Linked DNA regions of Mus musculus: all the other regions are reported to be linked to region 1. Evidence: microRNA targets listed by miRTarBase, many of them from high-throughput screens and not tested one by one. Region 1 holds a microRNA gene; each other region holds the end of a gene's coding sequence.

Region 1 (4,067 bases):
ATGTCTATAAGTGATTCTCTTTTCTACAAGAATAGCCAGCACTTGCTGGAAAAATGATCAGTCCAGGGCTTGGGGACTGGAGCAGGGGAAGTGTAGCATGCACCTGAGACACGCCACTGTCCCAGACGGTAAGAAAATCTTCCAAGAATGGTACAAGAGGACAAGGAAACCGGTTTGGGGACTATTGGTGCTGGCTGCTGCTGGGGCAGGGACAGTCACTGCCTTCAATTGTGTGTTCACTGGGTGAGTCTACCAACTTCAGCGAATGCTTCTATACCCAGTGGCACGTGAACCACTGTGGTTAGACTCAAGGGGTGCAAAACAAGAAGGCATGAAGGGGCTCGAGGGTTGTGCAGAGGTTAAGAGCACCTGTTATTCTTGTAGAGAACCCACATGGGGCTCACAACCATCCAAACTGCAATTCCAAGCATCCAATGCCCTTTTCTGGCCTCTGCAGGTAGCAGGCACACATGGGGCACATGAGTACATTCAGGCAAAACATGTAATATTAAAAAAGAGAGAGAGAGAGACATGAACATGTCAGAGGGACTGGAGGGGAAGATGAGAAGACAGGGAGAATAATCAGAATGCACTGTGTATATATCAAATTGTCAAAGAATAAATTAATAAAAAAACAGTTTGAGGAACTTCCTCTGGGTAAATCCAAGAATTTTTACAATAGTGGTGGTGATGATGATAATAATAATAAGAGGCTATTAATGCACTAAATAAACCAGGACTCCAAATGTCCTGTAAGTAGACAGAGCAGCACAGACAACTGGAGGGGCAGCTCTCCCTACCATAGGACACAGCAAAGCAATGGAGAAGGAATGATGGAGTGAGGAGGCTGAGATTGAAGGCTTCAAAGACAGGACATTCACCTATTTTGATACATTTGATAGATTTATCAACCATAAAGGAAAACATAATGCCCACAGTGGAGAGTTTGGGACACATCACCTTAAACATGAGATCAAGGTTATAAATAAATAAATAAATAAATAAATCTGCCAGGCAGCCGGGCTGTGGTGGCGCTCGCCTTTAATCCCAGCACTTGGGAGGTAGAGGCAGGCAGATCTCTGTGAGTTCGAGGCCAGCCTGCTCAACAGAATGAGTTCTAGGGCAGCCAGGAACACACAGAGAAACCCTGTCTCAAGAAGGTAAAAAGTAAAAAAAAAAAAAAAAAGAAAAAGTAAAAAAGAAGAAGAAAAAAGAAAAGAGAGAGAGAACAGTCTACATTCTGAGGGGAAGCTGTAGTAGCTACACAGTATTGAACACCACACACAAGGCTTATACACACGACACAGTCAAGCCTGCATTATTTGTAGAAATTTAAAATGTCAAGCTAAAAACTTGTTTCTATTCATGAGCACAATGTTAATTTCTTGCCATTTAATGAAGATGCCCTCTTGAGATGGACAGACGGCAGGACAGTCTAAAGCACTGGCCTTGATTGGGTGCACAAGCCTGACTGAGCTCAGTTTGATCCCCAGCACCCACTCGAGTACAAGGGTGTGCCACGGTAACCCAGTGCTCTCAGAAAGAGATGGAGAGTGGAGACGGAGAATCAGCAGAGCTTGCGGACCACCTAGGCCAGAGCACTACTCAGTGAGAAGCAACAGAAGAGACTCCATCCCCCAAAAAAGGTGCAGAGAGAAAACAGACTCCTAAAAGCTGTCCCCTGACCTCCACATGCCTGAAGGACACCTCCCATATCTCTGTGTGTGTGTTTTACAGAAAAAGGAAGGAAGGAAGGAAGGAAGGAAGGAAAAAATATAAAGGTTTTTGTCTTTTTGCCCATGGTCACTTGAATCATGAGACAAAATAAAATTTTCTTCCCTTAAATTGCTTTTTGTGGAGCCTTTGGTTACAATAACTATCCAATTCCAACCACAGGAGGAAAAAAAAATGTGTGAAGATTCGAGTGTATTTCATCAATCAAACAACACAGAACAAACTGAGCACATAGTGTGTCGGGTGCCAGCAGAAAGAATAGAAACGCACATTGAAGAGTAAGCCTGCCGGGCGGTGTTGGCACATGCCTTTAATCCCAGCACTCGGGAGGCAGAGGCAGGCAGATTTCTGAGTTCGAGGCCAGCCTGGTCTGCAGAGTGAGTTCCAGGACAGCCAGGGCTACACAGAGAAACCCTGTCTCGGAAAACCAAAAAAAAAAAAAAAAAAAAGAGTAAGCCTGCTGGAGCAATTTTTTATCTCTTTATTAACCTAAATAATGGGTTATTAGAACTAAAAGCATTAAAGTGCCAACTAGAGATGAAAAGTAATTGTTCTCTCTGGAGAAACATTTAGCCTTAGAAGCAGAAAACAGCAAAAGACAATGGGGTGTATAATTCTGGGGTGACCAGACCTGCCTCTGCCTCCCAAGTGCTGAGATTAAAGGCATGCGCCACCACTGCCCTGCAGACCCAGCCCTTTTGTGAGTAAGTTCAGAGCTACAGATCAGACAAGCTAGAACATTAATCATAACTGCTGATCCAGAAGTGATGTGATGTCTGGGGTTTATATCAAACAATAGAAGTAAGCAGTAGCTTGTAGATGAAGGAAGACAGTTCAGGGGTCCAGAGTACACACTGGCTTTCCAGTCCAGTGGTGTGCAGCACAGTGTGTAGAGCCCTTCCCAGAGCCCAGAGCTTGGATTCCACCTCCTCAGAGAACTAGGTGGTGGGTGATACACGCCTGTAACCCCAGCACTTAGCAGGCTCAGGCAGGAGGCAGGGTCAGCGTCTGGGTTACACAGTAAATTCCCACACCATCCTGGGCCTGAGCTATAGAGTAAGAAGAAAAGGGGGAAAAAATCCACGATTTAAAAAAGTTAAAACGCAAAACCACTCTGGGAATGGTGAACATTGTATCTGAGATTACACATCTCTTTAGGATTTTACTAAAAACAAGATGAGAGAGGTGGCTAGAGAAAGGCTCAGCAGCTAGTTGTCATGGGGTGCAGTTCTAGAGATAGATTCCCAGCACCCACATGGTGGTTTACAACTTCTATAACTTCAGTGCCAGGGGAGGGCACACACACATATAAAAGACAATAGTAAATGTTTTAATTAAAAAAAAAAAAAAAAAAGGTTTTGGGCTGGAGAGGTAGCTCAGTGGTTGTGATTGAAATGTTCTTGCAAATCATCGGAGTCAGTTCCCTGCACCTTTGTTGGGAGGCTCTTGATGGCCATGTCCATGGAAACCTTGTGTGTATATAGGTGTTATACACCTATACACACTTATACACAAACCTATGTGTTCATGTATAGGTGTGTGCACAAAACCTTTTGTGCATACATCTATACATAAACACATAGACACATAATTAAAAACAGTGTATTTAGCTCACTCAGTCAAAGTGTTTGCCTCCCAGGCAGGAAGGTCCTGGACTTAATTTCTAGTTTTACACTAAAAAAAAGATGTAGGCATGGTAAGGCAGGTTTGGAGCCCTGACTCCTAGGAGGTAGAAGCAAGAGAAGCAGAAGTTCGAGGACATTGTCAGCTACCTAGAGAGTTCCCGACCAGCCTGGGATACATGAAAACCTGTCTATAAACAAACAAACAAACGAGTGAACATACAAACAAATAAATAGATGGAAAGGATTTCTTGAGGACCAGTACATATGTATGTTATATACTCTTTAAATATGCTAGAGAGCTTTCAAAATGAGAGTGGAATGTACCAATCTTTCTATATCAAGTATAGTAAAAAAAAAAAAAAAGTAATATAGATGTCAGAGTTTTGTTTGTTTTTGTTTTTCGAGACAGGATTTCTCTGTGTAGCCCTGGCTGTCCTGGAACTCACTCTGTAGACCAGGCTGGCCTCGAACTCAGAAATCTGCCTGCCTCTGCCTCCCAAGTGCTGGGACTAAAGGCGTGCGCCACCACGCTCGGCTCAGAGTTTTAACATCAAGTTTGCTACAGCTGAGGTGTGGCTCAGTGGTCAGTGCTTGCCTAGTAATAGGGAAGTCCTAGGTTCAACCCCCATCACTGCAATCAACAAATAAATGTAAAAATAAAATTTATTCATGTCGCTTGCAAGGGAATAAGCATTCCTGTCACTGAAG
Region 2 (4,067 bases), not on the chromosome of region 1:
CCTGCTGTCTTACTGATGGGAAGGGAGTAAAGAAGTTCCTGCTCCATGCACAGCGCCCCCTATGGGTGGCCTGGGAACTTGGCTATGCAGTTGGTGCAGGTCATACTTCCGAAATTCGCAGCTGTTTTTTCTAGAGGGTTTACATTGCACCAACATAATCAAATGCAGCTTTTGTTTGTGCATGAAATGTTCCATTTAAGGAGCTTTGCCCGTTTTTCATAGGTTCACCTCAATGGAACTGAATATTGTATACAGCTATGTCATCGAGGTCCTTATTTGCTTGCACACTCGAATGCTTCAGAAACTCCCAGACCTGGTGAGAAGTCTCCCGACCTTAGCCTCTGTCCTTAGAAGAAAAGCCAAGAACAAGCATGTTAGGCTTGTGTGGGAGTCTGTCCTGCAGGAGTACGGGCTGCAGGAGAGGGATGTCTCAGCACTCTGTACCTTCTTCATTGTACATGGCAACAAAGGAGAGCACTATGCTGCCAACGTAAGACGGATGTACATCAAAGATGTTTCCTTCATGATCACCAACATGGTAAAGAACCAGGCTCTACAGGATGGATTGCTTAGAGCTGTTCAGATCATCGAGAAGGGGAAACAAGCACAGGACCCTGAAAACTCAAGGGCACCCCTAAAAGAGTTGATGCCCCCAGTTAAAGACTAACCTGTTACCTTTGACCCAGCAGTTCCACTCTCGGTCATTTGTATTTTTTTTCCCCCAAGACAGGGTTTCTCTGTACGGCCCTGGCTGTCCTGGAACTCACTCTGTAGACCAGGCTGGCCTTGAACTCAGAAATCCACCTGCCTCTGCCTCCCAAGTGCTGGGATTAAAGGCGTGCGCCACCACTGCCCGGCGGTCATTTGTATTTTAAAAACCAAAAAAATGCATAATTTAATTTTTATAGGCTTATTTTATAGCAAAAGTGGAAGGAACATTAAAGAAATTATGACAAATGGATACAATGTACATTGTGTGTGTAGCCATATTTGAAAAAGAAGCAAATATTTTATAATGAAGTAGAATTTGGGGTGTAGCCCAGAGTACATTTTTTTTTTTTTTTTTTGGTTTTTCGAGACAGGGTTTCTCTGTGTAGTCCTGGCTGTCCTGGAACTCACTCTGTAGACCAGGCTGGCCTCGAACTCAGAAATCAGCCTGCCTCTGCCTCCCGAGTGCTGGGATTAAAGGCGTGCGCCACCACCACCCAGCTACATTTTTTTTTTGTATGTATGAGGCCCTGAGTTCAATCCCTGATACCACCAAATACATAATAAAGAAATTTATATGGAATCATTACTCAGATTTGGTGTTTTATTTATAATGTTATATACAAAAAGGGGCAAAAACAATTTTATACACACACACACACACACACACACACAATTTTTTGTTCACGACATAGTTTCTCTGTGTCTGTAGCCTCAGCTGGCTTTAAACCTGGATATTTGCCTGCCTCTGTTTCCCAAGTGCTGGATAGCCATGGCTGCCCAGCATACCTATAATATCTTCAAAGGATACTGTGTATAAGTTTAGATATATCCACTTCTGCAGTGATACTTAAGTGATGTGGGGTTTTTTTGGGGGGGGTGGGGGTAGAGGACTAAGAATCTAAGAGTCAAAGGGAAAGAAATTGTTTTCACTGGCTAGTAGAACTTCTCTAGACAGGACATGACATCATTGTCTCGAATCAGAGAAGCTGTGATTGGCCACAGCACAGGGTCATGAGATCAGTCCTACTGCCATTTCCTCGTTGATGGAAAAGGGAAATGCTACTTTCCCCTGAGTCTCCAACCCCAGACCTAGGCTGTACATACTCTTGCTCCAGCCACACCTAATCTTCAGGGACGCTAGACTATACAGGAGGTGGGACGCTAGACTGTACAGGAGGTGGGACGCTAGACTGTACAGGAGGTGGGACGCTAGACTGTACAGGAGGTGGGATGCTAGACTGTACAGGAGGTGGGACGCTAGACTGTACAGGAGGTGGGACGCTAGACTGTACAGGAGGTGGGACGCTAGACTGTACAGGAGGTGGGCAGTTGATTGGGGTTCAGAATGCAGTGGTGCAGCTTTGGGGGTCATCCCCACACGGAGGTGGGGATTTTAGATGGTTTGCCTTCAAGTCATCCATGCCTCTGTAAGTAACCCACACCCATGCTCCTGTAAGACCAATGAACTCATTGGTTCACCACGCTGGACTTGGTTGGAATCTCTTCTTTGGTCTGTCTTTGCCCTGTCTAGGCGAAACAGACATTTCTTTATATTTCCCTAGGAAGAGTCAGACTGCTTGCTCAATTTGAACATTTTGAATTTTGAATGCCTTTTGAAGGGCAATTAATCAATTGAAAGCATGAAATAATAGGGGTGGAGAGATGACTCAGTGGCTGAGAGCATGTATAGTTCTTCCAGAGGACCAGAGTTCCACTCCCAGCACCTATGTCAGTGTCTCAGCCACAGCTCCAGGACAGTCTTGCTACTTTCTGCCAAGCTTGTGGGCCTTAAGTCGTTAGAAAGGAAGCTGAAGACCTCAGTGGACTGTGACACAGAAAGAAGTATAAATGCCAAGTTGTCACAGATCTGAGGAACAGAAACCATAACCAAGGCAACTCTTTCTTTTTTTTCTCTCTCTTTTTTTGGTTTGGTTTTTCTGAGACAGGGTTTCTCTGTATAGCCCTGGCTGTCCTGGATCTCACTTTGTAGACCAGGCTGGGATTGAACTCAGAAATCCACCTGCCTCTGCCTCCCGAGTGCTGGGATTAAAGGCGTGTGCCACCACGCCTGGCCACAAGGCAACTCTTATGACAATATTTAATCAGGGCTGGCTTACAAATTGAGAGGTTCAATCCATTATCAAGGTGCCAGAGCATGGCAACATCCAGGCAGGCATGGTGCAGGAGGAGCTGAGAGTTCTACATTTTCATCTGAAGGCTGCTAGCAGAATACTGCTTCCAGGCAGCTAGGATGAGGGTCTTAAAGCCCACACCCATAGTGACTCACCTACTCCAACTGGGCCACACCTTCTAATAGTCCCATTCCCTGGGCCAAGGATATGCAAACCATCACAGACTCCAACTCCAGGTCCTCCTGTTTCTGCCTCTGCCTTTGCTACCTAAATGCCTCAATTACAAGACACACGTGTCCATGCCTAGTTCAGAGGTCCTTCCTTCCTTCCTTCCTTCCTTTTTGAAACAGAGTCTCTTACTAAACTCACTGTATAGACCAGGCTGATCTCTACCTCACAGAGACCCTCCTGCCTCTGCCTGCAATGTTTTGGGAACCAGCTGACCAATTGAGGAAGGGTCTCATATAGCCCAGGTTGACCTGGAACCAGTTATGTAGCCAAGGCTAGTTTATAATAATCCTTTTGTGACTACTTCCCAAATGCTGGGATTGATTATAGAAATGGGTCTCTTGTTGAGTTCTTCAGACTCCACATACCAAACCCAATAGGCATTTACTCATGCTAAAGTCTGGGGTAGAGGGCCCAAGCCAAGCACCCCCAAAACAAGAGGGAAAGCAATAACAGCCAAATCTCTACATTGCTGTTTTAGCCAGTACCATAAGGATATCACCCCCACCTTATTTAACCTTTACAAGGATTCTTTGAAACCACAGGTGTAACTCTTTGTTGCTGCTCTCCTTGAGCGTCACTTGTCTATAAGGCCAATATCTGCTGCTCATTCTATAAAATGCTAGTGTTGCAAATAAATGCTAAGAAAAATCTTTAAGGTAAATTTGTTGTAATTTCTTCTTTTAGCACTAAGAACTTTAGAAAGCTTTGTTAGGAGAAGGGTAGCCTAAAGAATACTGAAAGAATAATTACAAAAATTCCTGTTCGGATCTTGGTTTAGAGAGTTACTTGAGTAAGCAAGATTCTGCAGCCTACAGTAGCCGAGCGACCAAAAGCGGGAGGAGTTGCTACTAGCAGGCTAGGCGGGAACGCAGACGCAGCTCCCGGAAGTCCCGCCCGACTGAGCGGTTCCTTGGGGGAAGACGTGCCGTTTTGGCGGGGAATTGTGACGTCCGTGGAGCCCGGGTACCTGCTCCGGCCGCGGCCAGTAGACCG
Region 3 (4,067 bases), not on the chromosome of region 1:
GTTGGAGGATGAAATTTAAAATTATAAGTACTTATTTTTCCTTCACTATTAGTCAAACCTAATTCCCAGATATTTAGCTTTTATAACATGCTTAAGGCTAGCTATGATACTGTGATCAATGAAACGCTTCCATTAAGGAGTCATGATTTGAAGGAGGAAGACAAAAGGGTCAGCTGAGAACTCATTGATAAGGAATTTCCCAAGTTGCTGATACCCAAACTGGGTCCTTAAAAAAAAGTGCAAGTTACAGCAAACCTTTACAAAGAACTACTGTAAATACAACCTCAAGTCAACATACAGCCTGTGTACTGGGCCCCGGGATGCTGTGCCAATCCAGAGTTTCAGTGTTACAAAGGCAGAACAAAAGCCTCTGGAAGGAACTGAAAATGAAGCAGCTATTGGTAGAGAAACCGATTTGTGTTACTAGCTGACGAGTCAACAGAGAACCAAAGCTTCCTAAACAGGAAAGGCAACATTTTGACTGAAGTCACTTCAAGTACGTAAAAGCATTCCGGGTTATATAAATGTTTGTTTCTAAGCCCCAATATTTGTATGATTCCATGTCACCCTAAATGGTCGAAAATAGTAGGGAGGAGTCCTGAGAGGCAGAGACCGGCTTCAGCCAAGAGGGCTTCTGGCTGGACAGCCTGCCTGACTGGTTTGTGCTTTAGACAGTAGCACTGCTTGCTGGCCTACCATCAAAACACATCTTGACAAAAATCCCTGTTCAAATGAAACATGAAAAGTCTTTGCCCAAAATGATTCTTGAAACAATTCTCTTAAAACCTTTTTTCAAAATGTTCTTACCAATTTTATAGCTGCCAGAAACAAAGCAGGGGGAAAAGAGCTTGGGGTTTAGGAGTTTTTAAGTGACTGGTAACATACTCAAAAGCATCAAGCCAAACAAAACAAAAACCTAATAAAAAACTGGAAGAAAAGAGAAAACCCAGTTGTGAGTGCTGGAGTAAAACAGTCACTGAAACACCAGAAGAGATGCAGGAGAAAGCACAGCAAAGTGGAATCTCACCGGACCTCAATACGCTATAATACTCAGCATTCCTGACATACCAGCTCTCAGAGCATTTAGATGATATACTGTATGTATGTATATATGTACACATATATTACAAAATGCCACGTCCCCACCCACACTATACCATCTAAACAAGCACAGCACCTAGGACAATATGATGGTTGCTAATATGGTACTTGCTTTTGATAAAGAACTTAAATTGTATCTCATATCAATTTTTTAAATATGAACATATTGGATCTAGCCCTTTCTAAACCATTTTTCAGTTAAACACTATCAAAGCTTGAAAACTCAGAAGAGTAATATATCAAAAATAAACCTATCCCCATTTCATTTTTATTAGAGTTAATCTGCCCTATAGATAAAAGTGCCACTATATATATGCAAAGTGAGCAGTACCAAACTTCTATTCTCTAGGCAAATCAGTAGCATATGTACAGATTCCTATGACAGTTCCATTCCCTTTTGGCCAACATGAAGAGAAAACATTACCGATAATGTGGCCACATACAATTTTGGATATAAGAGTTTTTAAAAAATTATGTCATTTTCTTAATAAAGATTCTCCACATAGCTCAAAAACAAGTTTTTGTTTTTGTTTTTCTCATTCTCATGTTAAAAAAAAAATCCAGCTTGCATTAAAGAGGCTTTGATTTCTTTCTGTATGAACTGAAATTTCAAAGTCAGGTTTCACAACACCATATATTTCTCACATTATCAAGTAACTGGTGTCAAACTAGTACAGTCATGCTCCAAGCATAAAGACCCAGGCCTCTGTAAATTAATATCCATCCAACTAGGAAGTATGGCTGAGACTGCCTTGGTCTCTAAAGGGTTAAGGAGACCACCTGTTTCCTCATTATGTAGAAAACCTCGACTTTTGAAGATAGACACTTAGAGATTACAACTTCTGCACGCTAGGCAAATTTTCCACTTGTGACATTTAAAATGTTCAATCTGACATTCTGACTTAATGTGAAGTAATTCCAGTTTGTTGACAGATTTGTGATTCTGCTTCCTTTTTGTTTCACCACGTTTAGCAAATGATACATCTACTTGCTAGCACAGACAGCTTTTATGCTATCTCCTTCCCAGCAAGCTCAGCAGGACAAAGATCAAACTTTAGCCGTTTGAAAGCCTTCTGGAGAATCTGGTGAACTGTCCAGACAGAAGGATTATTACATCACTCAACTCCTAGAATCATGTCCTTCACAAACTGTTCATCCTTGAAAAAAGACAATGGTTTGTTATAAACAACGTAGAACATTTACAGATAGCAACCTAGTCTTAGCTTAGAAATGGGCCAAACAGTTCCCGCTCATACGTATACTGATATTAATATTAACTTTCTTAATATCCCAAAGCAAATATAAGACACTCTTCTGAGTCTGAGTTCTTCCTCAAACGTGAAGTAACCTAACATGCCAGCCTCCACTGTCCTCATATTTGTCTTTTAAAGAGGTAACTCTTAGATTTTATTAGGTTTAATAAAAAAAAAATGAGTTATTACTAAGTCTTATCAGAAACAATGTTACACATAAATGTAGACTATAGGTAAGGATGTAAGTAGAAACATCTTCAGAAACAGAACAGCTTTTGGATAGTTAAAGCAGTACCACCTTTTTTAGGAGAAAAAAAAAAGTGTTTGCCAAATATTGTACCATAGCACACACTCCAATGTCTGAAGGAAATTACTTTTCTTGTGTGCATTTAACACAATGTTTTAGAATCACATCCTTGTAACTTCTTTGATTTAAAAAAAAAAATCCCAAGAGATTCTCTGATAAAAATATGACTATAGAAAAGGTTGTCTATTTAGTACTTTCCATCACTTTGGCTGGACATCTTGAAAACGCTCCTGTTGGCTGCACAGTGTAAATGCAGCAGTGGACTAGGTAAATGAGTGACAGTATGAGGATTCGGAAAGCAAGGACAAAAGTCTTTATTTATTAAACACCTTATTGTATAACTCAAGGAGTTAGCTTCCTGGCCAGCACCTACTCATTAAGACTTAGTACTCACCAGAATAAGCTTTATAGTATGATTTTAACTTAACTCAAAATTCAAAACCATGCTTTCCATTCAGTTGGTTACTTCTGTTAATGTATTCAAACTGCTGAACACACAGAACTGAATGAAGAAGCAACAACTGCCCTACAGAGGAACTGTAGCCAATACCGTGCTTCTCAGCACCAAGGACAACTTGTCAGTGCTGAAGAAAGGAACATACATATAAAGTTTACTCCCAACACCACACTAATATCCTTATTTAAAGGATGTTTTTAATAGTTCGACATAATTCACAATGAAAGTGTAAAAACATTAATTTGGCAGTCAACACTTCTTCATTGCACCTTCCTTACTTTCCTGTGTGGCCCACACATTACGTCAGCTCAGCAGGCTGGGTAACTGTCCCTAAGGCAATCATGGAGCTCAACAAACCTTGAAGTCATTAATAAGAAAACAAACAAAACAAACCTAAAACAAAAATAAGAAAGCCAAGATTTCATTTTCCTCATTTCCCCCAACAATTTACAAATAAGCAAATGATTACTTCTTGAGGGTGGTGGAGACGGAGGGCAGAAGTCTCTTCATGATTCCTGGCGCTGCACATTTCTTGAGGGCAGAAGTGGAAGTAGTTTTTGGAACATTCACAGTTTAATGCAAAAGCAGAAATGAATGAAATTCTGTAGTTGCTTTCAGGCAGTTTTGCGCATAGAAAAAAAGAAATGTTTAGAAAATAAATGTTTACTTGTCTTTCTGGTTGTGGCCAAGCCAGTCCATTCTCCACCGTAACAGGAGAGAACTTAAATCCCAAATTAATCTGATTTGTGGCAGTAAAGGTCCTTAAGTGCTTTTAGCTCCTCAATCAATGTTTTGTTTTGGTTTTCAAGCACTGCCACTCTGTTCTCTAAACATTTCACATATTCTTTCTTCTTTCTACGACATTCTCTTGCTGCCTCCCTAAAAATGAAAAACACAAAAAAATTTATGTTCATAAACTCCATTCCACTAATTTTAGAACAGAATGTTT
Region 4 (4,067 bases), not on the chromosome of region 1:
TGCGCCCGGACGGCGCGGACGCGGTGCCCGCCGCCCCGCGGGGCCTGAGGCAGGCGGATCCACAGCGCTTTCTTCTGCCTCCCGCCTTGGGGCTGCTGGTGGCCGCCGGTTTGGCTGGCGCCGCACTCTTGGTCATCCACGTTCGCCGCCGAGGTCCTGGCCAGGATACCGGGACTCGCCTGCTTTCTGGGACCCGGGAGCCTTCGGTCCACACGCTCCCGGATGCACTCAACAACCTGAGGTTACAAGACGGTGCTGGGGATGGCCCCAGGTGAGGGCGACACACCTTGTCACTGCGGCCAATTGACTGGTCTGGTTCTATCGGATTGGACTTTCTTACCCAGGTGTTCTAGCCCTAGCCCTCTTCTGATGGGGTCATTGCAGAATTCTCCCTTGCCAGTCTGCGGTTTCCCTCTTTGATGGGTGTGGGAAATAAAAAAATGAGAATTCGTGGGGTCTGAATTGTCCCCCGTTTCTCTCCTCCCACAGTTCGTCGGCTGACTGGAATCATCCTGAAGATGGAGACTCTAGATCCATTTATGTCATACCAGCCCCTTCCATTTATGCACGAGAGGTATCCTCGACCCACGTTCCCACGTTCCAGGCTTTGGACACTTGGCTCAGTGGCAGCCAGCTCCTCCCACCCTCAATATCTTTTCTAACGCTTCTTTCTCATTTCTTTTTTCAGGCCTGATCCTGCCCCTTCTCTATCTTGTCCCTTCTCTATCATCGCCTGGAGATGGAGCCTGAATGATTTTATTTACTTTGTGGTGTCCAATCTCTACCTCCCCCTACCGACTGGAGACTCTTTGAAAGGGCTTTATTGTACATATTGCTTATTTATAACCTAGTTTTTCTCATCTCCCCAGAGACATCTATAAAGGTTCTTATTTTGCTCAACCACATCAGGCTGAGAACTTTTTATTTTCCCAGGATAGAGTTTCCTCTCTGTAAAAGCCCTGGCCAGCCTAGAACTCTGTAGACCAGGCTGGCCTCGAACTCACAGAGATCCACCTGCTTCTGCCCCCTAAGTGCTGGCATTAAAGGCGTGCACCACTCCAACAGGTGAACTTTGTTTTTGATGTTGAAACTAAGAGAGCTGTCTCATAAGGGGAATAGTAGGTTTTTGTTGTTCTTAAATTGAGACAGCATCTTGTGATAGCTTGGAGCTCATTGTATAAACCAGTAGCTCTCAACTTGTGGGTTGCAACCCCTTCGGGGGTTGAACAACCCTTTCACAGGCGTCACACATCACCGATCCTGCATATCAGATATTTACATTATGATTCATCACAACAGCAAGGTCATAGTTATGGAGTAGTAATGAAATGGTTTTATGGTTGAGGGTCACCACATGAGGAACTGTATTGAAGGGTTGAAACATTAGGAAGGTTGAGAGCCACCTCCTTTCTTCTTTCCTTTCTTTCTTCTTTCCTTTCTTTTCTGTTGTTTTTTTCTTTTTAAACAGGTACTTATATTATATGAGGGCTCTGTCTTCACACACAGCAGAAGAGCACATCAGATCCCATTACAGGTGGTTGTGAGCCACCATGTGGTTGCTGGGAATTGAACTCAGGACCTCTGGAAGAGCAGTCAATGCTCTTAACCGCTGAGCCATCTCTCCAGTTGTGTTGTTTTTCAACACAGGGTTTGTAGCCTTGGCTGCCCTGGAAGCCACTCACTCTGTAGATCTACTGGATTGCCAACCAAGCTAGCATCAAACTGCAGCAGCTTTCCAGCGTCTGCATCTTGCACACTGGGAATTACAGGCAGGCACCACCACGCTGGACTAGGCCTGGTCCTTTGATAGAAGGCTCACTAAAAGTTTTTAGGCTTGTGGTTATGCTGTAGCACAGGTAATTAGATTAAAATATAATTAAAATTAGCCAAGAGATTCTGGCACGATGGCACATGCCTTTAACCCCAGCTCTTGGGAGGCAGGAGCAGTGGTTGTCTGTGAGTTCAAGACAAGCCTTGTCAGAGCGAGTTTCAGGATAGTCAAGGATCCATAATGGGACCCTGTCTCAGAAAGGGGGGGAAAAAAGGCTGAGGCAGGAGGATTGTAAGTTTAAGGCTAGCCTAAGCTATATAGCTGTGTGTCTTTCTCAAAGATAACAGAAAGCAAAACAAAACAAAAAATACGTTTAAAACCCAGCCAACTAGAGAAGGGGATGTGCCAGGGTCCAGGTCAATTCCTAGTCCAAACATCTGTGTGTTCTTCCTGTGGAAGCACCCACTGCACTGACGTCTGGCAACACAGCACGTTAATGGTCACGAAATGTACATTGCATTCTGGGGCCTAGAGTCTTCATGAGGTCTTGGTCAGGCAGATAAAGTTAATAGCCCTCCTGGGGCAGAACTGACACAATGTGGCCCCAGGCTGTCATCACTATCCACGTTATTGTGGATTGGCTGGTCTATGTATGCCCCACCCCCCTTCCAGAAGGATATTCCCTGGCTTAGAAATACTGCCCCAAAGCCACAGGCAGAGGCTGACATCTCTTGAGACATCAACAGGGTTATGTGCATCCTGAGGGTTTTTTTTTGGGGGGGGGGGTGTTGGTTGGTTTTGTTTTTTTTTTTTTGTTTTGTTTTTGTTTTTTTTTTTTTACTTGAGAGTGATTTTAAACTTTTGATCCACTTGCCTCCTGAGTGCTGGAGCTACAATCCTGAGTCAACATAACTGGTTTGTGTGGCACGGGGGACTTGGACCCAGGGCTTTGTGAATGCTATGAAAACTCTATTAACTGAGCCACAACCCCTGTTAAGTCATCCTTCTGTGAGCCTCAGAATGAAGTCTAGTCGGCCTTACATGGTCACTGTCCCTGGCTCCAATCCTTGTCACCTCTGCCTTTTGCCTATACTCCACTTCTCAAACTTGTCCCCTTTCCTGGTGCCAGCTTCCACTTTATCTCCCTAACTCGGGTTCCACAGGATTGGTTGATCCAGGTCTTGTTCTAGGAGCTGGGGATACAGCATGAAGAAGACAGAGTCTCACTTTGACCACTCCCCGGGAGTAAATTGGATTATTTGTGTGGGTTGTCGCTATTTTTCTCCGGACCTCGTATCCTGCAGAGAGGTGCCTCCTTTCTGAATTATATGGGTGCTGGTATTCTCCACTGCACTGACGGTTTTAGGCTGTCACTCTCATACTGGGTGTGACCTCCTATCATGGGCAGGAAGCAAGGAGGGCAGAGATGCATTGTCCCCGGAATCCCCAGCGCTAGGAGGGCGCTTAATGAACTCAACCAGCTAAACGCATGAGTGTCAGGGTGGCAATGGGAAGCTCTAGGCAGAGTTGGCTCCTGCTGGGTGGGGATAGGGACAGGGGCGGTGTCTATTCGGTGAGATCTGAAGACAGCAGCGCCTCCCTGGCGCAGAGCTTGGAATCTCCGCCTGACTGGAACCCGGTGTAACAGTGCCTGCTCGTGGTTGCTTCGGTTTTTAGAATCCTCGGGTGCGAAAGCTCTCCTCGCTCAAGGAAGCAGGGCGAGGCGGGACGCTTAGCCTGGGGTACCCGGGTCTCACCTGGTCCCCATGAATAACAAGGCGCGGGTCCCCGCTCCCTCCTCAGTCCGGGCAAACACCCCGGCCCGGACACCCGCTCCCATCCGAACCGCGACCCCAGTCAGGGCCCCGAACCCAGCGCACAACTCGACTCCAGTCCGAACTTCCATCCGGGTCCGGGCTCCTGCCCAAGTCCCTAACCCTGTTCCAATCCGGTTCCCAACTCCAGCCCCAGTCCCTGCCCCAACCCTAACCCCAGCCCCAACTCCAGCTCCAGTCCGGCATGCAGCACCGGTGCGGACTCCAGCACCAGTCCGGGCCCCGAATCTAGGTCGGGTCTTTCCTAAGATCTCTCCAGGCAGGTTCTTCCCGAGCTTGGCCTCGCCCACGGCACAGCCCCTTTCTTCCAGGGCTGCTAGCGCTCTCTTGAAGGATCCCACACTCGCTCAAAATCAGAAACCCTCGATCCACAGCCTAGCGGAGGCCATCCAGGGGCCCCTTCCAGTGCTCACTCCCTCGTCCTCCAAGACACAAGGCTCCATACCGGACACCGCCTCTCC
Region 5 (4,067 bases), not on the chromosome of region 1:
GGTTAGCATTAGGGCAAATAGCTCCCCTGGCTAAGATTGCCTACTGGGTCCCCAGTCTGATGTCTCATCTTACTATACGCCCTCACCCTCACCCCAGCTAATTGTTTCCCAAGAGTCTTCTAGGAAAGGCAACCACAGAATCCACTGTAGCCAATGAAGTTAAAATGTTCCTCCTGCTACAAAAAGTCAATCCTGCCTATGCCCCCTTAGGTCCTGGGCACAGAGCCTATCCACACTCCCTCCTGTCCCTGTTGTCCCTCTTCTTGAAGAAAACAGCCAATGACAGAATATGTCAACTCCCTACTTCTAATCAGTCCTCAAGGACTGGAAAGAAGGGTTAATGATCTTTAAAAAAAAAAAAGTCTCCAGTGGGCTGAGAAACTCTGGACTGGAAAGTTGACTTTACTGATAAACATCCTGAGGGTGGGGGTCAGGAGTCAGGATGCTCCTGATAAGAGGATCAGCATACCAACCTCCCCTGCTATCTGCCACTTTGAGCCTTCGGGAAACTGAGCTTTGAGCTTGCAGGTGGAATCTTCCATGCCCAAAGTCCTCTTTTCTGTTCTATGAAGTCCCCAACCCTTCCGTGCCACGTGCGCACAAGTGTTCACTCCCAAGGGGAGACAGGTGTCCTTCAGCTGTTTTGGTTAAAGTACAAGTCTGCCCATGTAGAGGTTGGTCTGTGATTTCTTTTATTTCCAAGTTGCCCTGATCAATCTGGCTGTAACTGTTGCCAGGGGATGCGCATAGAAGAATGCCTCCGGAGTGACGGCTGATGGGAACAGAGGTTATTCCTGGAATAATTTCATAAAACTGAGAGCTGTGCACTATCAATAAATGACACTGCATACTTCACTTTAAAATTGTTATTTTTTCCAATTAAAAAAAATGTTAGCCAAGCGTGTTTGTATACAACGCCTTTAACTCCAGCACTTGAGAGGCAGAAGCTGGCATAACTTTGTGAGTTTGAGGCCAGCCTGGTCTACATAGTGAGTTCCAGGATAGCCAGATCTATGTATCGAAAACATGTCTCAAAAAAAAAAAACACACAAACAAACAAAAATGCTGATCTTGAGCAGAGGAGACCAGGTCACACCTATAATCCTAACTCATGGGCGGTCGAGGCCGGAGGATGACAGTAAGTCAAGATTATAGTGGACTGCACAGTTAGTTCCACGTCAGCTTGCACTATGCTGTGAGATGCTGTCTCAATAAGAAAAAGACAAAGCAACAAAAAAGACATGAAAATAAAAGAGGGACTTATTTGAGAAGAAGGGTTTCAGTGAGAACAGGATGAGAGTGTAATAAAAAGATGGGGCAGTGACTGGGATATGAAAAATAATAAATAAACAAATAAACAAAGAAATAAATAAGGTGCTCTGAAAAGATTAAAATGACTAAAATGATTCTATATATGTATGAAGTTGTCAAAAGAATAGTAAAAAGTAATTTGAATTAAAAAGGAAATTTTTTGTTTTGTTTTTAATGCTCCTTAGGTTTTTTAGTGTCTACGTGTCTATGTGTGTGCATGCTGGGGTCAGAAGACTCATGGAGCCAATTTGCTCCTCTGCGTGGGTTGAAGAGATGAAACTCGGCCCAACTTATCCTGATTCCTGAATTTTCAGATCCTCTTTCCCTTTCATATTTGAGAAAATGGATGTATTGGAAATAAACAGAACGAGAACGTGAAATAATCTTAACTCCCACATTAACCTACAGACCCAACCTTGGTTACAGCACATGCCCCTTACCCGTGTAATACTGTGAAGGCAAAGTTCTCCCCACCCCCTTCCTGCTCACCACTTTGAACTCACTATGTCCTGGAGAAAACACAAAACCACTTTCTGCCGGGCCCGGGCTTGCTGCTGAATTGCGTTTAATTAAGGATAGAAATGTGTGACTACTACAGGCTGCCTCTGGAGGGAAAAGAAAAGGACCCCTTTGGTTCTGTTGCATGAAGTAAACATTGTCAGATTCTCTTTGAATCTTCACAGCCCATGTCTAGGGAACAGTGTGGTGGTTTCTTCAGACAATTCCTTCATCTTCCGTATAATGACTTCAGAGGCTTAAAAAAAAAGGCAAGTATTAGTTACATCAAACAGTGAATAATACACACCTTTAAAATCATCCCTATTAATCTTTACAACAGTTTAGTTTGTTCCTGAAGGTCGTCATCTATAATATCATCCCACTTGTCCCTTAGATAAAGAGAACAATATACCGAGAGCTCACAATAGAGTGACACAACTCTTTGTGGTTCTTTTGTTCTTGCTTTGCAATTCTGGGAATTGAACTTGGGCCCCAGGCAAGCCAGACAAGCATTCTATCACTGTGCAACTGCCCCCACTGAACAGAGCAGTGAGCTCTTGACAAGTTGTTCAAAAGCAGTTGTTCCATCTAAATATCTGCATATCAACTCAAGGTCTGCCATAACCTCTAGAGTCATCCCAAGTGACATGTGTCTCCAAGTATAAACTTAATGACACTATCCATGATGCTGTCCTCTCTTAGAATACAGAATATAGTAACAGAGGAAATAAGCTGCCGTTTAAAACCAATCCTATTTCTAGCCACTTCTTACAAAGAAACAATACTATCTTTTAATTTTAATTTTCAGACTTATTTCATGTGCATGTGTGCTTTGACTGCATATATGTATATACAACACAGTGTGCCTGGTGCTGTCAGAGGTCGGAAGAGAGCATCAGATGCCCTGGAACTACAGTTACAGCTCATTGTAAACTGCAATGTGGGTGCTGTGAACTGAACCCAGGCCATCTGCAAGATGCACATGTACTCTTAACCAGTGACCCAGCCCTGCAGCCCCAGTATTATCTTACTTTATACAAAGCCAAGAGAATCTGCTCTGCTATGAGTGACCTATGACACATTCAGCCAGATAGTTTTTATTTTGTTGAGTTTTATTTTTAAAACTTTTTAAGGACTTATTTTATGTGATGAGTGTTTGCCTATGTGCATGTCTGTGTGCCATGTATGTACCTAGTACCCACAGAGGCCAGACAAAGGCATCAATAAAATAGCTTAGAACTGGAATTGTAGATAGTCATGAGCCACCCCATTTGGGTACTGGGAATCAAACCTGGGTTCTCTGGCCAGTGCTTTAAGTCACTGAGTCATTTCTCTAGCCCCCTATTTTATTTTATTTTTTTACTAATATGTATGTGTATAAATGTGTGTGTGAGAGAGTCAGCGTAAGCACAACTGGGCCATAGCATGTGTGTGAAGGTCAGAGAACAAATTCTAGGAATCAGTTCTACCTTTCCAACAATGAATTCTTACCCTCTTAGGTAGCTTCTGCTATTCCTGAGGCAAGAAAGAGCTTCAGTTGAGATCCAGTTCAGCAAGCTTTGCCTCTGGAAAGCTGTCATCGCTGGCATCACTGTATCCATCACTAGATTAACAGAGAAAAGTCACTCAGCAAGATGGTGAAAAATGCCACAAGTAATTATTCAAGTTTTAGCTCCAAACCTGTTCCATAATTATGACCCATGTAGAGGAAACACTAAGGACTATTCTATGATCACTTTGGAGTCCAATGACATGCAATGGTTCTTTGCTCAGAGAAAGTGATCACCTACGTTCATCCCAAGTCACTGGAAAATTTAGGCATGTGTTTCATAGGTGGAAACATATAGTATGAAGAGTGTTAATCAGCTGCTCACTTCTACAAAGCCTTGGCTGCTCTACAGCCTGCCTGTGACGCGCTTTTTACCAGAGAAGTTCTATTAGCAAACTGGCTTCATATGAAGCCTGGTGCCAGGAGTGCTGGCTCACACTTGTATTCCTAGCACTTAAGAAGCTGAGGCAGGAGGATTCCCAAAGAATTCTAGGGCAGCCTGGACTATTGCAAAACCCTGCGTCAGAGAGAGAGAGAGAGAGAGAGAGAGAGAGAGAGCCATAACACCCTTAGGAAAATGGGTGCAACTGGAAAGACAAATGTTGTATGTTTTATCTTCTTTGTGACTCCTATGATTTTACAGGAAATATAAAATCATGCATGTATATATGACAGAAAAGAAGTAAAACTGTCCAAGGGGACAAAGATA
Region 6 (4,067 bases), not on the chromosome of region 1:
GTTTCTTTTTTTAAGATTTATTTATTTATTTTATGTATATGAGTACAGATGGTTGTGAGCCATCATGTGGTTGCTAGAAACTGAACTCAGGACCTCTGCGTGCTCCGGCCCCACTCACTCCGACCCAAAGATTTATTTATTTATTATTATACACCAGAAGAGGGCATCAGATCTCATTACAGATGGTTGTGAGCCACCATGTGGTTGCTGAGATTTGAACATGGGACCTTTGGACCACTGAGCCATCTCTCCAGCCCCTTCTTAGTGATTTCATAGGTGATAGTCTAGCTCATGCCTACAGAAGCCAAGATATACTTGGCCATTGGGTATCTGGTCCCTGCCCAGGAGCAGACCACTGCCTTTGTAGGAAGGGGTCTGGCAGTACGTGGGTGACAGGCAAATCCAATGCCAGGCCCGCTTGTTCTGCTTCACAGTTTCTGCTCTGCCCTGCAGCCCTAAGGGACTTCAAAAGTGGCCTGGGCCGCAGCAAGCTGTGCCGTCCATATTGAAATTCCCATCCCCTGCTCTGCCAAGGCAAAAGGTGTGTTCATGTAGTACACTGACCTTCTGCCCATTCTCCTTCAGGGTATTGAACGCCTCCAACGAACAAAACAGCCCAGGGAGCAGTCGGGCAGCTGGAAGTCGGTCCAGGAGGCTTTTGGTGGGAACTTTTCCCTGAACTGGTTCAACCCTTTCACCAGACCTTGTCAACCAGAGACACCCATTGATAAGGGCTTGGTACGTCAAGTGTCATCTCTGTCAGACGTGGACAACATGGAAACAGCTGAGAGCCAATTGGAGGCGACAAAAGACAGGGACTCTGTGGAGGTGCTGGATGAATAGAAGTCATGGAGGATAAGACACCAACAGTGGCTGCTACCCTGATGAGTGTTACCAACTCTGTCACCCCACACTTTTTTTTCCATTAGGATTGGGGTCGGGGGATAGGAAGGGCAATAGAGGGTACAGGAGAGTAGGGACTTTCTCTGAGTTCCTCTTAACAGGATGTGCCAAAAGTGATCCAGCAAAGGAAATGGTGACCAGGATGTCGGGGTGGGGGATCCACTTCTGCTTCTTGAGGGCTGTCTTGGGGAGGCTGGGGATCTTGGGGAAGGAATGCTCTAACATCAAGGAAGACCAGCCTGGAAGGCTAAAGAGACTCCAGCCATTTCCAGGAAAGGGATTCCTTGGCTGGCTGACTCGAAATCAACAAAGGAGGGTATGCTGAGCCTGCGGTCAGGGCTTGGGCTTGGTTGAAAGAGCACCCTACATGCATGCATGCATACACACGTACAGAGTCTACCCAAATGGAAATGAGCCTGAGTCATGACAGTATCGCCATCCTATAGATACGAGACTCTTCCCTGAGACAACAAGGCAGTCAGCCTTTCTATAGCCACAAGCATGCATCCTAGAAGAGCTAGGTGAAGACATATATTGAACTCCTGGAAAAAGTCTGTAAGACATGGGGACAGGTGCAACCAGAAATGGCCTCCTTTGCATTTTAGAGCAGCGCCCAAAATGGTGCCTCACAGAAAACTGCATTGCTAGTCCTAATGACATGCCTTATTCCCAACATTTAGAGCTGGCAACTAAACCTCTGTTGCTTTGAGGAGAACCTGGTCCACATGGTTCTGGCTACATAGGGAAACCCTGTCTTAAAAACAATGAAGAACTGCATGGTGGCCAGGACATGCAGACTGTTAAGCCAGGAAGACCCCAGGCACTGCTCTCCCAGGATGAGCTTGGACCTAGTCTGTCCACTGGAGCTTGAGGTATCTGGCTGTTACTGATAGTCTGGGCAGGCTCCTGCACTCCCCAGTCCATTGCAGTGGTGGCTGAAGCGGCAGCTTCTGCAGTCTAACCAGTTAGATAGTCTCAAGAAACACACCCAGCTCAACTCACCCCTTGAACCATTCCCCAGCGTGGCTGCCACTGACCCTGGCAGAGGATTGTATCACAGCTCCTCTAGCTCTGCAAAAGGGCAGGAGTCCTGGGCCAGTGGAACCTGTGACCTCCATGACACGAGTCAATCGAGGTACTGTCTCAGGACCCTGAGAAAGGAAAGCTGTGGGGAGCCAAGTGGTGGTCTGATTCTTGGGCAGCATCCTAGGTAGTGCCACAGTGTCAGCAGGACTTCAGCATTAGCAGATGTGGCCTACTCCACCCCACTGCAAGTGCACTTCCTCCAAGCAGGTCTGCTTTAACATTTATCAGCAATAACATGAGGAACCCAAGTTGTCCCTAATCTTGGCACTATGTGGAAAGACCTGTAGGGCCTCCAACCCCAAACAGACCTGGACGGCCCAGGTGCTGGACCATAACCAGAGATTCCATACCAGGGAGAAATCAGAGCTAGTGACTAGGTCCCCAAGGAGCAGCAGTTAAATTAAGGAAGGAGCTTTGGAGTCAGGATTTGTTAACTGAATGTCCTGTACATTGAGGCTAAAACCAGTCTTGCTTGGGGACAGCTTGACCTGCAGCAGAGATACCTCCCAGCCCACAGCCATTTGTTTCCAGAGTGCTTTTCCTGGAAAGGTTGAAGTGTGCATTTTGCTCCCAGTTTTAGGTCCTCCATACTCCTCAGCTAACCCATTACCATGTCAGGCCTCAGCCATATTTCTTCTGTGTACTGGACAGCCAGGATCATGTAGGTAGTAGTCTGTCCAGCCCTGGGCCTTGTGCCTTCACACCAGAACCCAATGGCCTTCTCTCTATGGCAACTCCTGAGATTCTACTCAGCACTGCAGCTGATAAGAGGAGGCCCAGTGTTTCTGGGCCAGAGGCTGCTTGCACACCTGCCTCTTGCTTTGAATAATAGTTCTTTGGTCTACCTCTGTGGCTAGAGGCGCCAATTTTTTAGCAGGAGATCCTAGCCCAAAGCCTTGGACAACGTCCTTCCTCTCAGGTCTAGTGTGTAAAACAAGTGTCACAAACACTAACTGATCCTCCATGGCCCCAGCATAGACAGAGGTTATTCTACAAGCATGTACCAGACATCTGCACGCCACAGAGGTGGGCATCTGGGCAAAAAGGAGTCAGGACTTGGGGTTTTCTGGTTTCAAGAATGAAGGAAAGATGACAGGTTTTAAATTAACTTGACACAAGCTGAAGGTATTTGAGAAGAGGGAATCTCAATTGAGAAAATGCCTCTGTAAGATTGGCCTTTACACAAATGTGTAGTGCATTTTCTTGATTGATGTAGGAGGGCCAGGCCCATTGTCAGTTATGCCACCCCTGGATGGAAGAAAAAAACATGACGGGCAAGTTATGAGGAGCAAGCCAGTAAGCAGCACTCCTCTGTGACCTCTGCATTAGCCCATGCCTCTAGGGTCCTGCCCTAACTTCCCTCAGATGCAATTAACCCTTTCCTCCCCAGGTTGCTTTAGGTCGTAGTGTTTTATCACAGCAACAGAAACCCTAAGGCAAGAATGGCCTTTAAATACACAAAATACCCCTTATTCAGTGTGTACTGAGTATCTCTGGAACACATGTCCACTTAGAATTACAGCCCTTGAGAGAGGTTGACCATCACGAAGAGGACCCAGACCAAGAAGGCCAACCTGGATCCATGAAATTCAGAGGCAATGAGGTTAAATTAAGCAGCATGCTGGCATAAAAGAAAATTTAACTCCAGACCACTTAGCCATCTTAAAGTTGCCAGAGTTTAATTCAAAGCATAGTGGTATGTGAGCAGATACCTTAACAGCAGAGCAAAGCACAGACTCCCGAGAACAGGGCAGGATACGTTGCTTCTTCAGATGTTGTCACTGGCCATAGACTCTTACTTAAAAAAAGGGTCTACCTCCCATGGCTCATCCAGAGCAAGAGGGCCTCACGCCAGCGTGGGGCCTGCTTCTAAGAGGACAGAGCCTTGGGATAAGAGGGTGTAGTGCCTGACCCAGGACCAGCTCCAAGATGCTTTCTATAAGACTTCCAGCACAGCCTCCAGGCACCCCTGGACTTGATAGAATCCATGGTCTAGATGGAAGATGCCTCCAGCCCTTCTATATCTGGGCTCTGTACATGGTTCTGAATCCAGATGACGGTGGCACTGTCTTCTGAGG
Region 7 (4,067 bases), not on the chromosome of region 1:
GCAAAGGAAGGCAAGATCTCTGTCAGTCTGAGGCCAGCCTGGTCTACATAGTGAATTCCAGGATAGCCAGAGCTACATAGTGAGACCCTGTCTCAAAACAACATCAGCAGCAAGAACTACAACAAAAGAAAATAAACTGATCATTAGTTCTTTATTAGTATATTGAAGTAGCAACTTGAGTCTAATGAGTGTTTTTCTTCTAGGATCAGCCTTTACAACATCTGACAATTTGTCTCTCAGTTCCTGGGTATCGTCATCTTCCAGTTTTCCTGGATTTCAGCATCCACAGCCCCTGACTGCTCTTGGTACCAGTACAGCATCCATAGCGACACCGATTCCTCACCCTATACAGGGTTCTCTGCCACCATATAGCCGCCTGGGAATGCCTCTGACCCCATCTGCAATAGCCAGCTCCATGCAGGGAAGTGGTCCCACGTTCCCTTCATTCCACATGCCTAGATACCATCACTACTTCCAGCAGGGGCCCTACGCTGCCATCCAAGGACTTCGCCACTCCTCCGCTGTGATGACGCCATTTGTATGATTCCACTGAGAGTCGGGGAAGCTAGATACAGAGTGTGCAAATGGCTATGAAAATACAGGAGGGGTGGGAAGTAGGGTGGGTGGGAAGTGGGGTATTGGAGCAAGGACTCTCCAGGAAACACAGGACTTATTAAAGGAAAGAGGAGAGCTGGACTCGCAAAACACGTACTCGCAAGGGAGTGCACCACGGGCCGGGCTTCATCTGTGATTGGATCCAGGGAAGAATCAGCGTGAAGTATATTCAGCATACTCCTACAGCTAATGGGCTATCAGTTCACCCAGAAAGCTTAATAATCCTAGTGCTTAAAAGTTTTGTTGATGCAGCGCTGTATAAAATCCGTGTGTAGAGGTTTCTTTCCGCTTTCAACAGGTTCAGAGCATCATCCAGAAGGCAATACTATATAGCGTATTGACAAGACTAACTCAAGCCCACTTCTCCCAGTAGGAAATGGAAGCCAGTCGTGATATGTTTGTAGTGCTCTACTTTAAGCATGTTTAGTTTCTTTTGTGTCAGTTTGCTTGCTGCAGACGGGGCAGAGTTGGTGCTAGTACGTCCTGTGGTGTGAATGAATATGTGGTAACACATTTACCAAGTTCCTGCCATATCCACAGGCCATGATAACATAAACTCTGTCTTCCATCCCCTCTCTTTTTTTTTTTAAAGCCTAATAATTCTTTTTCCTGCAACAACTTTGCAGTTATGCAATGAAAACCCTCTACATGCCATTTTAAAACAAGAAGCTCTCTCATTTTCAAAGAGGATGGCTTCTGGGGGGCTGCATTATCAACAGGCTGCTGACAGAGCCACCGAGGACCCGTCCAGAGCCCGTGCATGGTGATGGCTGAAGCTCTCCCTCACACATTCAAAGTCTGGTGTCTCTCTTCTGAGGGAAATTTCTCTGCCCTGGGAACCAAAGTCCTCTTCATTTTTCACTCCAGCGTCAGCAAGTCTCTTGTATATTAAAACACACTGGGCCAAATTCTGATTTTTTTTTAAATATACATCTGCTTTGCTGCTGTTTCCATCCTTGTCAGGGATTTGCCAATGGCCACTCTCCATATGCATGCTTCACCATGCTCTCATGTATGCTTATGGGCATGTACATGCCCTGTAGTGGGTTTCTCCAGTCTGACTGTATTACATTTACAGACTTCTTTTCATTTTCCCTGGTCCCTAATATGAAGCTGCATGTTAATTCAATGACTCCCTTACAGAAATACTAACAATTCTTACCGGAATACAAGAGCTTCATCCAGTTTTTCCTATGTTCTTAAGCTTTCCTTCTATGTGTAAACTAGAGTTTATGTTTTACTTCTGTATAACCACTATGTTATTTTTGAGCAACATGTATCTTAGCATTTACATTCAGGATAACACATATGATATTTTACAATAGTACATTTCCCTAATAATATAGATTTATTAAAGTCCTTAGACTTTCAGCTTTGAAGACAGTGTGTTCCACCTATAGGATGTGACCAGTTTGCTTTATGTAGGTTGCCTGAATTTATTTTAGTTTCAATTTTTTTTTCTTGTTTTTGTTTTTTGAGACAGGGTTTCTCTGTGTAACCCTGGCTGTCCTGGAAACTCACTCTATAGACCAGGCTGGCCTCGAACTCAGAAAGCAACCTGCCTCTGCCTCCCAAGAGCTGGGATTAAAGGCGTGCATGCCACCAGTGCCTGGCCTAGTTTCAATTTTTTAATGAAGTTTTTATTCTACTCTGTTCTTATTTCAAAAGTATTGACTGTGCTTAAAGATACGGGAAATCTCCTGACAGTAGAAATGTGTTTAGGAGTAAATGCCATATACTTACCACATCACTCTGCTGTTTTATTTGGTAGCTTTAATGTTAGGCTTTTCCATGCGGGATGAATTCCAAGGCCAAGTCCAGTCTATGAAACAAGGTACCATACCCAGTCTGAGCATGGGATGCTAGTTTTAGGTTTTTGCACTTGATGTTCTCCACCAAAAGTCCATAGTTTACTTACAAAGAAGCATGAACTGTTAAGGAAATGATTCTAAACTCTCATGGCAGACACTGCAGGTGAGTGCAGCTTCTTGTGTGCCTTGTAGTAGTATCCACAGGTAGTTGGTTTCCAGACAAAATACAGATGTGCATTTCTCTTAAAAACCCATTGTGAGTGGTATTTAAAATAAATGCCCATAGAGCAAGGGTAAGGGCTTGATATTTAATAATTGGCCTCTTGCAAAAGAACCTTGGAATAAAGTGCTACTATTTAAAGCAGGAAAGAAACAAAAAACAAAAAAACTGAGGCACGACTGTGCAGGGTGCCCCTCATCTCTCCCCTGGTATATGCTGAGATTCTAAAGTGAGATTCTAAACACATGCCTGTGTTTTCTTTTCCATGAGAATGAAAGGATTGTTTTAATATTGTTTTTGAATTTTTTTTGAACTGGTGTGCCTCACAGTTGGTTTTTTTTTTAAATTGCTGTTAAATATGATCTTTTGTTGGTATTTCCTGACCTTATAATTTTGCTTGAGGATGAAACTCACTGAAATGCATGATGACAGCAAAGAGGGCTCTTGAAAATGTTCTCCCTAAAAGTCTTTACCGGGTGTTTGCTTCCCCTGTTGGTATTATGTAAATCAGACAGAAACCTCCCAAGAGAAACAGCACCATGTGAGTGCCCTGTCACTTGACCCTGGGACCACCAGTGCCTTTCTGACTTATTTTGGCAGTTAAATTATTATTAATCCTTGGGGAGTTTACAACTTAAAATCCCAAGGTCTGGTTAACAAAAACTGATGGCAATAATTAGATATTAATTGATAAATCCAATTGAATAATAATAACCAAGACTTAAAAAGCATTTGGACTAATTCAGGTCTTCCTCCTATGGCTATTACATTGTGATAAAGCATGGCGAAAGAGAGTGCTGTTGAAGAGGCCCAGCCAGGCTTGCTTTACTGAGCTCTAATGGACTTGCTCATAACTCAGGAGGTTCTCACTTATGCTCTGGTTTTAAAATATTCCTCAATAATCCCAAGTTATGGTGTGCCAATCCCGTATTAAATGAACCATACCACCTGGTTCCTGTCCTTAGCAGTTCATGTGGAAATACTTCCAGTTGTGTGTGACACATCAACAGTTGTCAGGTAACATTGTCTAGCTCAGTGGCTGTCTGCTCCATTGCTGGCACAGTCAGTTAACAGCACTGGACTCTCGTCTAGAAGGTTATCAGCATTTATGGTGAGTGCTCCAAAGAAGGCTCTTTATATAGGTTCATCGTCATGCAGAAGCCTTGTGTATGAACTGCACCAACTTCTGGGGCATTCTAAGATCTTACCTTCTCAACCACTGGATAAATATCTGTCCCTTGACTTCTCCACACAGCATACTTCTTCCCAGAAGAAAAGGGAAAATGAATCTGTCACAAACCCAAGAAATAATCTTAGCAGTAAAATGTCATGTCTTGTACTGCCTATGAGCATTTCAGGGAGATGTTAGGATATTTATCCTATTTCTCAATTTCAGATTAACTTTTTAAGCTACATTGGTT

The links. The annotated mature microRNA mmu-miR-1195 reads UGAGUUCGAGGCCAGCCUGCUCA and lies in region 1 at 1,083-1,105, shown strand. An mRNA with a match to its seed (bases 2 to 7 or 8) in the 3' UTR can be bound and repressed. Matches are read on the target gene's strand: a 7mer-m8 pairs with bases 2 to 8, a 7mer-A1 pairs with bases 2 to 7 and ends in A, and an 8mer does both.
Region 2: miRTarBase lists Smco1 as a target of mmu-miR-1195. Seed matches in the 3' UTR shown: 7mer-A1 at 760-766, 7mer-A1 at 789-795, 7mer-A1 at 1,112-1,118 and 8mer at 1,140-1,147.
Region 3: the mRNA of Creb1 is a reported target of mmu-miR-1195. Seed matches in the 3' UTR shown: 7mer-A1 at 2,423-2,429.
Region 4: the mRNA of Dll3 is a reported target of mmu-miR-1195. Seed matches in the 3' UTR shown: 8mer at 996-1,003.
Region 5: the mRNA of Ctps2 is a reported target of mmu-miR-1195. Seed matches in the 3' UTR shown: 7mer-A1 at 991-997.
Region 6: the mRNA of Zdhhc3 is a reported target of mmu-miR-1195. The part of its 3' UTR that is shown has no 7-base or 8-base seed match.
Region 7: miRTarBase lists Tbx20 as a target of mmu-miR-1195. Seed matches in the 3' UTR shown: 8mer at 2,157-2,164.

What each region holds. Positions count from the first base shown.
Region 1 is chr17:70,857,596-70,861,662 of GRCm38, reverse strand. Mir1195 (microRNA 1195) reads left to right here and starts at 1,063; the gene lies at 1,063-1,160.
Region 2 is chr16:32,273,491-32,277,557 of GRCm38, forward strand. Smco1 (single-pass membrane protein with coiled-coil domains 1) reads left to right here. Exons shown (of 3, transcript NM_183283.3): 3 at 223-1,291. The coding sequence ends at 667. Rnf168 (ring finger protein 168) reads left to right here and starts at 3,971. Exons shown (of 6, transcript NM_027355.2): 1 at 3,971-4,067.
Region 3 is chr1:64,597,164-64,601,230 of GRCm38, reverse strand. It overlaps Creb1 (cAMP responsive element binding protein 1), which reads right to left. Exons shown (of 9, transcript NM_009952.2): 9 at 1-3,997. The coding sequence ends at 3,853. Among named protein-coding and RNA genes, the nearest start is that of Mettl21a, 19 kb to the left of the region's middle.
Region 4 is chr7:28,290,548-28,294,614 of GRCm38, reverse strand. Dll3 (delta like canonical Notch ligand 3) reads left to right here. Exons shown (of 9, transcript NM_007866.2): 7 at 1-271; 8 at 490-574; 9 at 689-1,060. The coding sequence ends at 694. Selenov (selenoprotein V) reads left to right here and starts at 3,429. Exons shown (of 6, transcript NM_175033.4): 1 at 3,429-4,067. The coding sequence starts at 3,538.
Region 5 is chrX:163,029,112-163,033,178 of GRCm38, reverse strand. It overlaps Ctps2 (cytidine 5'-triphosphate synthase 2), which reads right to left. Exons shown (of 19, transcript NM_001168568.1): 18 at 3,301-3,412; 19 at 1-2,065. The coding sequence ends at 3,343. Among named protein-coding and RNA genes, the nearest start is that of S100g, 67 kb to the right of the region's middle.
Region 6 is chr9:123,067,137-123,071,203 of GRCm38, reverse strand. Zdhhc3 (zinc finger, DHHC domain containing 3) reads left to right here. Exons shown (of 7, transcript NM_001372538.1): 7 at 586-4,067. The coding sequence ends at 843. Tgm4 (transglutaminase 4 (prostate)) reads right to left here. Exons shown (of 14, transcript NM_177911.4): 14 at 3,646-4,067. Among named protein-coding and RNA genes, the nearest start is that of Tgm4, 34 kb to the right of the region's middle.
Region 7 is chr9:24,721,929-24,725,995 of GRCm38, reverse strand. It overlaps Tbx20 (T-box 20), which reads left to right. Exons shown (of 8, transcript NM_194263.2): 8 at 204-4,067. The coding sequence ends at 544. Among named protein-coding and RNA genes, the nearest start is that of Dpy19l2, 28 kb to the right of the region's middle.